2 linked regions of the Arabidopsis thaliana genome follow. The protein of the gene in region 2 interacts with the protein of the main gene of each other region in a pairwise test. Each region holds a gene or a part of one and is shown on either strand. Other genes may lie near its edges. The genes, in order: AT5G44920 and AT4G23950.

Region 1 (4,177 bases), on a different chromosome or scaffold from region 2:
ATGGAAGTGACCCTCAATGTTCTTGTTTATGCTCAAACCAAACCGGGATCATCCATGGTGTCTAGTAAGGTTAAATGCCTAGCAAGCTCATGCTAAGCAACAAAATGTGATCATTATTAATGATGAATCAAAGACTGGAAAGGTAAAGAAATGTGATCATTTAGTCCTTATAAATTATAACTAGAACCATTCTTTGTTCTTCGTTTTTTCCCAAATACATGACTCAGTACGCCTTTCTAAGCCTTTTCTTTTTATATAGGAACAACAAGAGAAACCACATCACTCTCTAATTCCGGGTCAAGGGTTTGATCAAGAATGCGCGTTTCCTGGTGGGTTTTGACTTTGGGAGTGTTAAATATCAAGAGAGATTCAAGCAAAGAGAGGTACATTTTATCTTTTAATTTGCTAATACTCAAAGACCACCACACAAGTGATGAAATCAACCATTTACATTATTAGCTAACCAATGGAGAAGCAAAAGACTTTTAGGGCAATGAGAATTTCTAGTCATAGAGCCTACACAGAGAACAGAAACAGAGTAATACAAAGCACAAGTTTGTTCTTTAAAATAGTAACTGACAATTACAACACAATTATTAACAAAGAGACACACAAATGTACAAAGCAACCAAATGATCTTTAACACCCCATTTAAACAACACACAAACAAACAGCATAAAGTTGCACAAAAGCCACTTATGAAGGAGGTGGTGCTTTGTTCTGGTTATTTTTGTACCAAAACCACGACGCAAGAACAACTGCCAGAGTACCTATGAACCATTCAGGAGTCTGGAAAAACTTCTGATCAGGGAGATACTTAGGGGCAATGAAGAAACTAAAGATCAAGTTGATGGTTATAGCCAAGAAAGCAACTCCTATAGCTGACCAACTGTTGTCAGTTGGTATGTTTAGCTGTTTCTTAACCTCCTTAACAATATCCAAAACAAAATCGGTATCGTGTCTGCAAAAAAAAAAATTATAACATGAGTTAGAGAAAGAAGAAGATGATGCAAGTAGGTTTTTACTTTTTTTTGGTTATATCAATAATACAAGAATCATCAAGAAAACTCGAGCGGTCAAGTTTCGGCATATATCGCTCGGTCAAGTGGGTTGGTGCCTTGGTGGATTTGCGGAAAACTCCTTACCAAAGAGATCTACTAATCAAAGATCAGTCGGGCATAGATCCAAACATAATCAAGAATACATGTATTTTGAAGTATTACTTGTACTTTGAGTTTGACCGGGAAAACCCTATTCTTTTTGTCACAGATCTCAGGGCACGCTCCCAACCCTCGACCCTCTCAGGCTCCCCTGCATGGTTTTGCTTCAGTTGCTTAAAAGGAAGGGAAAACTCTCCATCAAGATTGCCTTCTCCATCGGGATTGGCTGCTCTTTTTACATCGTCCGATCTTACGTTATAGAAGATTGGAATCACCACGAGTTTCTTTTCCTTCATCTGTTCATTCATCGTCACAAGCTCATCCAAACACCACTTTGACTCACAGTACCTCTTGGAGAAGATAGCAAGCGCGATTTTTGACTTCTTGATCCTTGTGAAGAGATATTGTAGTCTTCTCCCTTTCTGCTCTTTAGTGTCTATGAAGACGTTGATCCCTGCGTTTCTTAATTGCAGCTCTAGATGGTTGACAAAGATTTCGCGCAGCTCATCTCCTCGGAAGTTGATAAACACCTGATCAGAAAGAGGTTCTTGGACCTGCTCATCCATTGGAATGGTGTCTAGGTTCGTCTGAATAAAAAATAGTGAATATAGTTGGTGAGAGACTTTGTTGTCTCACTTTGTCCTTTAAAATACATTACAGAGAAACGATTCTTTAATTCTTCAGACCAATCAGTGGCTCGATGCCAAGTCTGCGCCTATCCTCAGTCTTTCTTTAATATTATACAACATTATTGTCTCAATGGATCCAAATACTCTAAATCCTGGGTCATGGGTCGGGTAAATAATGTTTTTGAAGACAAACTATAAAGAGTGAAACAACTAAACAGAGATGTAATCTATAGCCAAACAGTGCAAAACTGTTAAGTTTCCAATATCGATACCTCCGATTCCTTAACCAAACCAGTACACACTAACACACCATACACGAGAGAGACTAGCACATCACTAGGTCAGCTCTCAGTACACCATATGAGAGAGACTAGCACATCACTAGCTCAACTCTCAAGTCTCTCATGCAAGACTCACACAATTCAACAACAATCAACAATAAGCATAGATTCTCTAAATCGATATCTCTCCTTATTTATACTCCCAAGCCTGCAACCGCAAACCCTTTGTCATGCCCAGAGACTTTGCTTTCCTTCCCAGCTCATCACACAGTCAACACACACAGTCAACGGTGTTGACTGCCTCTGCTTCTTTCTTTTCTTTACTTGCTTCTCCAATCGTATCAAAAGCCATTTGACCACAAGTTGGTGATTAATCAAGAGGTCATCATCTGTTTGGTTGGGTCCGTAGACAGTAAAGCTGGTGCAAGATACCAGCCAAAACTGGAAACCCTAGTAAACACTTAACAGCTTTATTAACTTTCACATCAGTGCATAGTAAACGAGCTACAATGAGACTACAGATAAAAACCGCAGCTGAAGCCAAAACAAACACTTGTCCTTTAGTAATATTTTGTCTTTCAGAGTCCATTAGCTCGCTCTTAACCGCCGTGACGATTGCCCTCACAAGACCTAAACCCGTTCTGCAAACATATGTCAGGAAGAAACCGTTAAATGAGCTCAAATAAGTAGTCTTCCTAAGAACAAATTAACAAGAATTGACTAAAAAAAAAATTCATAGAAAATTCAAAACAGTTTGTGTTTTCACTACTTATAAATTTCATCAAAAGAATAATTACCCGTGGTCTTCGGAGGTTAAGCCGGTCCGCTCTACTATTGAACTCAATGAATCCTCCCACTTCAAGATCTTGAGTGGATCGTTTGCGTATTTCTCCCTCAGTTCCTCGAAATGATTACCGAATTCATCCTCGAGGTTCTTTACACCGCTTATGCTCACATCATAGAAGACAGGTATCACCTTAAGGTTGCTTTGTTCTACGTGCTCGTACATCTTTTGAAGCTCGTTCAAGCACATCTCTGACTCTGTATACCTCTTGGAGAAGATGACGACCGCGATATTCGACTCCTCGATCTTTGTGGAAATATTTCGTATGTCTCTCCTATTTGCTTCTGCTCTGTCTACGAAAACGTTGACTCTCTCGTCTCTCAATCCCCACACAAGATATTTGATGAAATTGTCGCGCGATTCGTTTCCATAGAAACTAATGAATACTTGAGGAGGACGTTGGTACGGTGGTGGTTCTGCCATGGGAGGGTTGAGAGTTGAGACTTTCTTGCTTTAATTTTTCTTCATGAATATATGGAGAAGAAGAAGCTGGAAAAGTAAAAGATTCATTTCTTGTTTTGGACCAATTCATTTCAAAAGTCAAAGCATTTATTTCTTTTTTAGGAAAAATTCATTTCAAAAGTCAACTCTTGGCAACTGTCTTCTTTATTATTTTTTATGGAAAAATTGGAAATATAGGACAAATATTTAGATATTTGTTCATCTATATTCAATGAACAAATGTAAACTATCCTTAAACTATTCTTGTATTAGATATTTAGATTTAACTACTTTTTTTTCAAAAAAAGGTCATAATAATTCATAAGAAATTGTTGAGTGTCCCTAAAAACACGAGATGTCTAATGAAGTCATCAAGCAGCTCGGTAGTCGTGGTCGTGCTGGATCCATTATTGAGCTTTGGTCAAGCACGACCACGACTACCGAGCTGCTTGATGACTTCATTAGACATCTCGTGTTTTTAGGGACACTCAACAACTTCATATGAATTATTCTGACCTTTTTTTGAGCTTTGGTCAAGCGAAGAGACTATGTGTTTCTTTGGGTTTTAACTGTTTGGAATAGAGAAGCGGAGACTTTGGGAACTTTTTGCACAAGAAAAATAAAGCAAAAGAGTGAAAAGTGGTTACTTTGAAAGAAACATTTATCTTTAGATTTGTATTTTTTCTTCTATTTCAAGATCATAACCAAATAAAACATGTGGAAGTCTCATTGATCTAGTAGTTGACCAAAAGTCTTAGGTGGTAGGTTATAAAGGAGATAGTGTTATTAATCGTAATCACTTTTATCAATAATTGATGCAAG
Region 2 (5,182 bases):
CGTTGAAGCACTTGACATAGTCAGAGTTGAGCCATAAACTAGTCATTCTGGGAAGTGACCTCGAATCGAGGATGCTAAAGAATTTATCATTCACAGTCATGACTTGTTTAGTAACTGCAAAGAACGCCTTCCACCCATTAACCGGAGTTCCACCATTTGTTTCCTCTGTAAATTCCTTTGTTGTAGAGAATGAAATGAAGGAAAACAATTGGATCAGCAAGACCAGTCTTAAGGCAATATCAATGAATTCTAAGAAACCTGAGAGTGCAAGAATAAATCTCATTTCTTCAAACCCTAAGAAGCACATTATTCCATAAAGCTACAACAACAACAAGACAGAATGGTTAAAGAGAGTCCAAAATTACTTGGAAATAAAGGGCTCTCCAGAGGACATCGTCATTCGCTGTCTTTCTCATGGAGGAACTCGTCATTGATAACTGGCAGAGACTTGAGTAATCTAAGTATCTGAGCGCGTAGCATGTAACCTCCGGAAACAATTGCTCGATCATCGACATTCCCGCCGCGTTATCATTACCGAACTTCGACACCACCATTTCCTAAACCCTTTTTTTGGTGGAGTCGAGAATAGTGAGAAAGAGGGCAAAGGATCAAGGGGATTGTTTTGTTTTGTGGTTCCTTAAAATTTAACCCTAAAAAACAAAACCGTTGTCTCTCTTGGAAATTGGGAAGAAATTCGTTTAATTCAGTTTCGGTTCGGTTTAGTTATTTTTGGTTTTCAATTTATTTGGTTTTCTAAGCACCGGGCAGATTACATTTACACCTATGGAAGTTGGAACATCAAACACTAAAGAAAATCAGTTGTCACTGATAGTTTGGGTCCAATATTATCAATGAAAGTTCTTTCTACTCCTAATCCTAGGGTTACAAACTTTAATAGCAAGGCACTGTTATAAAAAAAAAAACCTAAGCCTAACTCTGCTATCTAAGAGAGTAAATGAATGAAAATCATGATGCTGCTGCTTAGCAGTATCATGACCCAGCCACTATCCGGCCATAGTGATCGAGCTTTATCCGTAATAGACATCCCCAGAAATGCCCAGAGTCGTGTTGAGACTAACCGAATCGTTGCTAAGACCACGAAAAAGAGGCTTATCAATAGAACTCCCAGCTCTTTACTCTCTAGATTAGCTTGTTCTTTCACAATCTTCTCTACATCCAATCTGATATCAAGAAACAAGAAGAAATATGGGGTCAACTAAGAATACGTTTCAAGTCATGGGATAGCTCTCCGCTTGAGATTTCAAATCCTCTGTTTTCTCTATTTAGGAATAAAAAAGAGTACTGACCTCAATGCAGAGTTTCCTCTAGCCAATGATTCTACACGGGAAGCTACAAGAGTTTTCCATAGCTCTAGGTCTCTAAGTTCCTTTTCCTGCTCAAAGAATATCAAATTCATTGGTAGTTTCTTCAACGGACAAAGACTTAATCATAAGAAATTATTGAATTTACCATTTTCCCTTTCCATTCTGTGATCTCTCTGATGTCAGCTTTGCTTTTCTCCACAAGTACTAGGGTTTTCTTCATCTCCAAGCTAACCTCTGGTTGTTTGTCATTCATTTTCTTTACAGAATCCTCAAGAAGCGATAAATTCATCTCAATCAATTTCACTTTCTGCATCATCACTTTCAAAACGTTATGCTTCTCCTTGACTTCATACTTTTTGTCTCCTATGATATTAATCGTCTTCACAACATCATCTTTCTTCTTCTGAGCTTCAGTTTCTTTGCCAATCTGATCTGTCCTATTGCTTTTTATTTCCCCATCTTGTTTTTCATCTGCAGTTTTTAGTTCCACCATAGCTGGTTTACTGGGAGGAGTCTCTGATGGAACAAACAGATCTTCAAGCATTTGCTCAAGAGCATCAATGCCAAATACCTCCACAACACTCAGAGTACAGTAAAACTCAGACCCATAGTGACTAACTAAATTAAGTTTCAGATATCTCAACCATTTAGGTTCCGGGAGCCGGAATGACTGGATCTGCTTAACGTTTGCAGCCGCAAAACTCCCAGCAGGTGTCCACATATCACTAGGGAAACTCAGACTCCCTGACAAGCTAAACTCTTTGGGATTCGAAGAGTAATGCTCAAAATTTGCAATTCTCACCGTATCAACCAGTGTCTCCTCGGCGAGCTCAATCACAACATACTTATCTGACACTGAACAGGGATTTCTTAGATACTTATCATGATCTTTGCCAAGCACATTGCTAGCTCCTTTTGCTTCCTTGTTGTGATCCACAACTTTAGCACCCTTCATAGCAGAAGCGTAGTTATACCCATTTCCATCTGGTTCTAACCTATAACGAGTCCCATTATTCACAAGCTGTGATGAGCCATTAACTTTGAGACTCTTGTCTTCAAGATTGACATATCTAGGATCACGAGCTTCCAGAGTTTTCTTGCTTATTCTTCGTTCTGGCAACACAACTTTGCAGATCAACAAAGCGTTGTTCACAAGAACATGCTCATACACATCTTGTAACTGGCCTTTTCTCAGGAGACAAAAGTTGTTTTCTTTCTCAGTGGCCTGAGGGAAGACAGAACTCGTGGAATTCAGTGTCTTTGAGACTGATCCATCAGTGTAATTCCCAATTCTATCTACAAAATAAATTGATTTCTTCAGAGGAACACAATATAGCAATCTCTGGAATATACCCCCCAAGTTAAAAGACCCTAAATTTGTTTCCTTAATTAACATTTGAAATGATAACGGAATCTCTCTCAAACAAGGAAGAACACTTACCTGCATTACCATAATCATCATGGCTTTGGCCAAGCTTGGAGTAGACGAGGAAGAGGAAGCACCAGAGTAAGAGAACGAGAGAGATAGAACGCTCGAAGAAGCTGCCGCTTCTGGAATTAAAATTATCAGCCTTGTCGGAGATTCTGACAATTCGAAACCTTTGCAATTTTTCATTCAGGCATATCGTCGAACAGCTTCCGCGCCTCGCCATATCTATAAAGCAGAGAAGAGATCTATACTCGTGTGTGACATGCACAGATGGAGAGAGTCAAGAGAGATCGTTGGTTGTATGACTATGACCTGTATCTGTAGAAACCGAGAAGAGGGCACGAGGAACAAGAGCAAAAGAAGACGGATGAAGAAGAAGAAAAAAGGTAAGAAAGAGAGTGCATGACTCGTGTTGTTGCTGTCTTGTGTGGTTTGAAACAAAGAACCAAACTTTTTGTCCGTCGATTTCCTCGGAATTAAAACTTTTTTTGTTTCTAAATTTATACTTAAGTTTGTCTAATCTATTGTTAGCAAATCAAAGAAGTGTCTTTGACCCAAGTTTTTTTCTTTATTTCTGTAAATTTAACTGTCCGAAACTTCAGAGATTGAGTCGAAGTTACAATGACGGACAATGAATAAACCTAAGCTTAGTGATTTGATGTCTCTGGGACGCCGGAATCATACTTGAGCATTGACGTCGGTAGAGTGATTAACAAGGACAAAGTCGCCGGATTCACGCCGGAGATGTTCAGGGACAAAAGGAAGACTTCCCGGATTTTGCTCTTGTAAGAGAGAATTTAACGGAGTCTGAGGAGGGTAATGGTCAAGTATGAAGTCTATTGCTTCTCCACTTATCTCTTTCTGGTTCAATAGAACCTACACATGGGAAAATAAAAGTATGAACAAATCAAACGAAAACGCAATTGCGGTTAAATGTTTGAAATTACCTTAACGGTTTTGAGGAGAGCGGTTTGGTTTTGCCTGAGGAGAGAAACTGTTTTGTTATACATCTGGCTAATGAGTTCTTCGCTTCTATGTGCGACTTCATCATCCATGTTGAAGTTAACTGGCGGCTCGACGAGGTCATAGTCGTCATAGAGAGATCCTTCAAAGTCTAAGCGTGGTCCCACGAACTGAGGTCTCTTTCTCCATGGTGGTGGTTCGCCATGTATCACCATTGGGTTCTCCAGGTTCCATCTGAAATCCAAATATATATAAGTCTTGAGTAAGAAGAAGCTTTTACTTTAAAGGGGAATGTGAAAATATGCAAAATTGGGCCTCTCACATGGTTAAGATTTTACGAGCTAGCCATGAGGCGTCAGAGAGATAATCGACTGATGCCTTTGAAGTATCTGAACCGTAGATCACTTCTTCTGCAGCTCTTCCTCCGAGCAAGACCTGAAATAGAAATTTTAGAAGTATAATAAACTCGTAACATCGAATATTAGAGAAATGAGTGAAGAGTTTTTTTAATAGAGAAAAAGAAGCACCTGAAGACGATGAAGCAGTTGTGGAAGACGACCAAACATGTAGGACTCATCATCAAGCCGATGAAACACAACTTGAGACAGTGTCTGACCACGAGGAATGATAGAAACGCGATCGCACCGCTCAATCTTTGCATTCTCATACCGCAATAAAAGATGTGAAGTGATTGCCACTCCGACTTCAGTTGTGGCTCTACGACACTGACCTTGATGTCCCAATTCTAAACCAATACGTGTCGGACCAACAGTGAGTCGGTCCACAGCGTCGTCCATGTCTGATTGAAGAATCGAGTTATGCGTTTTCCTGACAGCTACAAGAGCAGCCTCTTGAACCAACTGTGCCAGTTTTGCTCCGGACCATCCTGTAATTGATATAAACAATTACTTTAATCAAAGTTTTATACAGGCCAATACGTTCAAACACATAAGTTGTCTATGGGAAAAGGTACACCATGAGCATAACAAATATTCTTTGCAACATCAATTGTAGATTTTATACCTGGTAAGTTACTTGCATAAGATGATAAGTCAACAGAATCCGACATCTTGACTTTGCTGGCATGAATCTTCAGAATATCCAATCTCCCTTTCGCATTAGGGGGACGGACTCTTATCTGATAAGAAGATTATTTTTAACGGTCTATCCGGTACTCTTAAGTCTACAAAATTAATGCAAGATAAATTCAAATGGCTTGCGATTGTCGTTTGGTTGTTTATTAATTCGAATAACTGCTATCAAAAATTTGAGAACAGAAGATTTAGTGTCTAGATTTTGTTAATCACAAACCTTTCGATCAAATCGACCTGGACGTAGAAGAGCAGGGTCTAACAAATCTCTGCGATTGGTGGCACCCAAGAAAATCACACCTTTGCCTGTGTCAAAACCATCAAGCTCGATGAGTAGCTGGTTCAATGTGGTTTCTCTTTCTTGTGTGGCCGCA

Evidence for each region.
Region 1: the proteins of AT4G23950 (region 2) and AT5G44920 interact in a protein complementation assay, tested with the Arabidopsis thaliana proteins (one study listed by BioGRID).

The regions. Positions count from the first base shown.
Region 1 is NC_003076.8:18,136,514-18,140,690, reverse strand, and holds AT5G44920 (Toll-Interleukin-Resistance (TIR) domain family protein), read right to left. Parts: upstream 1,917-4,177; 5' UTR 1,727-1,916; coding exon 1,224-1,726; intron 962-1,223; coding exon 697-961; 3' UTR 501-696; downstream 1-500. Other genes in the region: ARAD2 (Exostosin family protein), read left to right, coding at 1-65; AT5G44910 (Toll-Interleukin-Resistance (TIR) domain family protein), read right to left, coding at 2,456-2,711, 2,868-3,337. UniProt on the Arabidopsis thaliana protein: Could play a role in nuclear morphology, specifically nuclear size.
Region 2 is NC_003075.7:12,440,092-12,445,273, reverse strand, and holds AT4G23950 (Galactose-binding protein), read right to left. Parts: upstream 3,228-5,182; 5' UTR 2,978-3,227; coding exon 2,767-2,977; intron 2,622-2,766; coding exon 1,471-2,621; intron 1,397-1,470; coding exon 1,308-1,396; intron 1,182-1,307; coding exon 944-1,181; 3' UTR 727-943; downstream 1-726. Other genes in the region: AT4G23960 (F-box family protein), read right to left, coding at 1-175, 366-509; FtsHi1 (FtsH extracellular protease family), read right to left, coding at 3,433-3,630, 3,702-3,951, 4,040-4,152, 4,245-4,603, 4,741-4,855, 5,029-5,182. UniProt on the Arabidopsis thaliana protein: Encodes a member of the mid-SUN subfamily of SUN-domain proteins. It is involved in early seed development and nuclear morphology. [TAIR].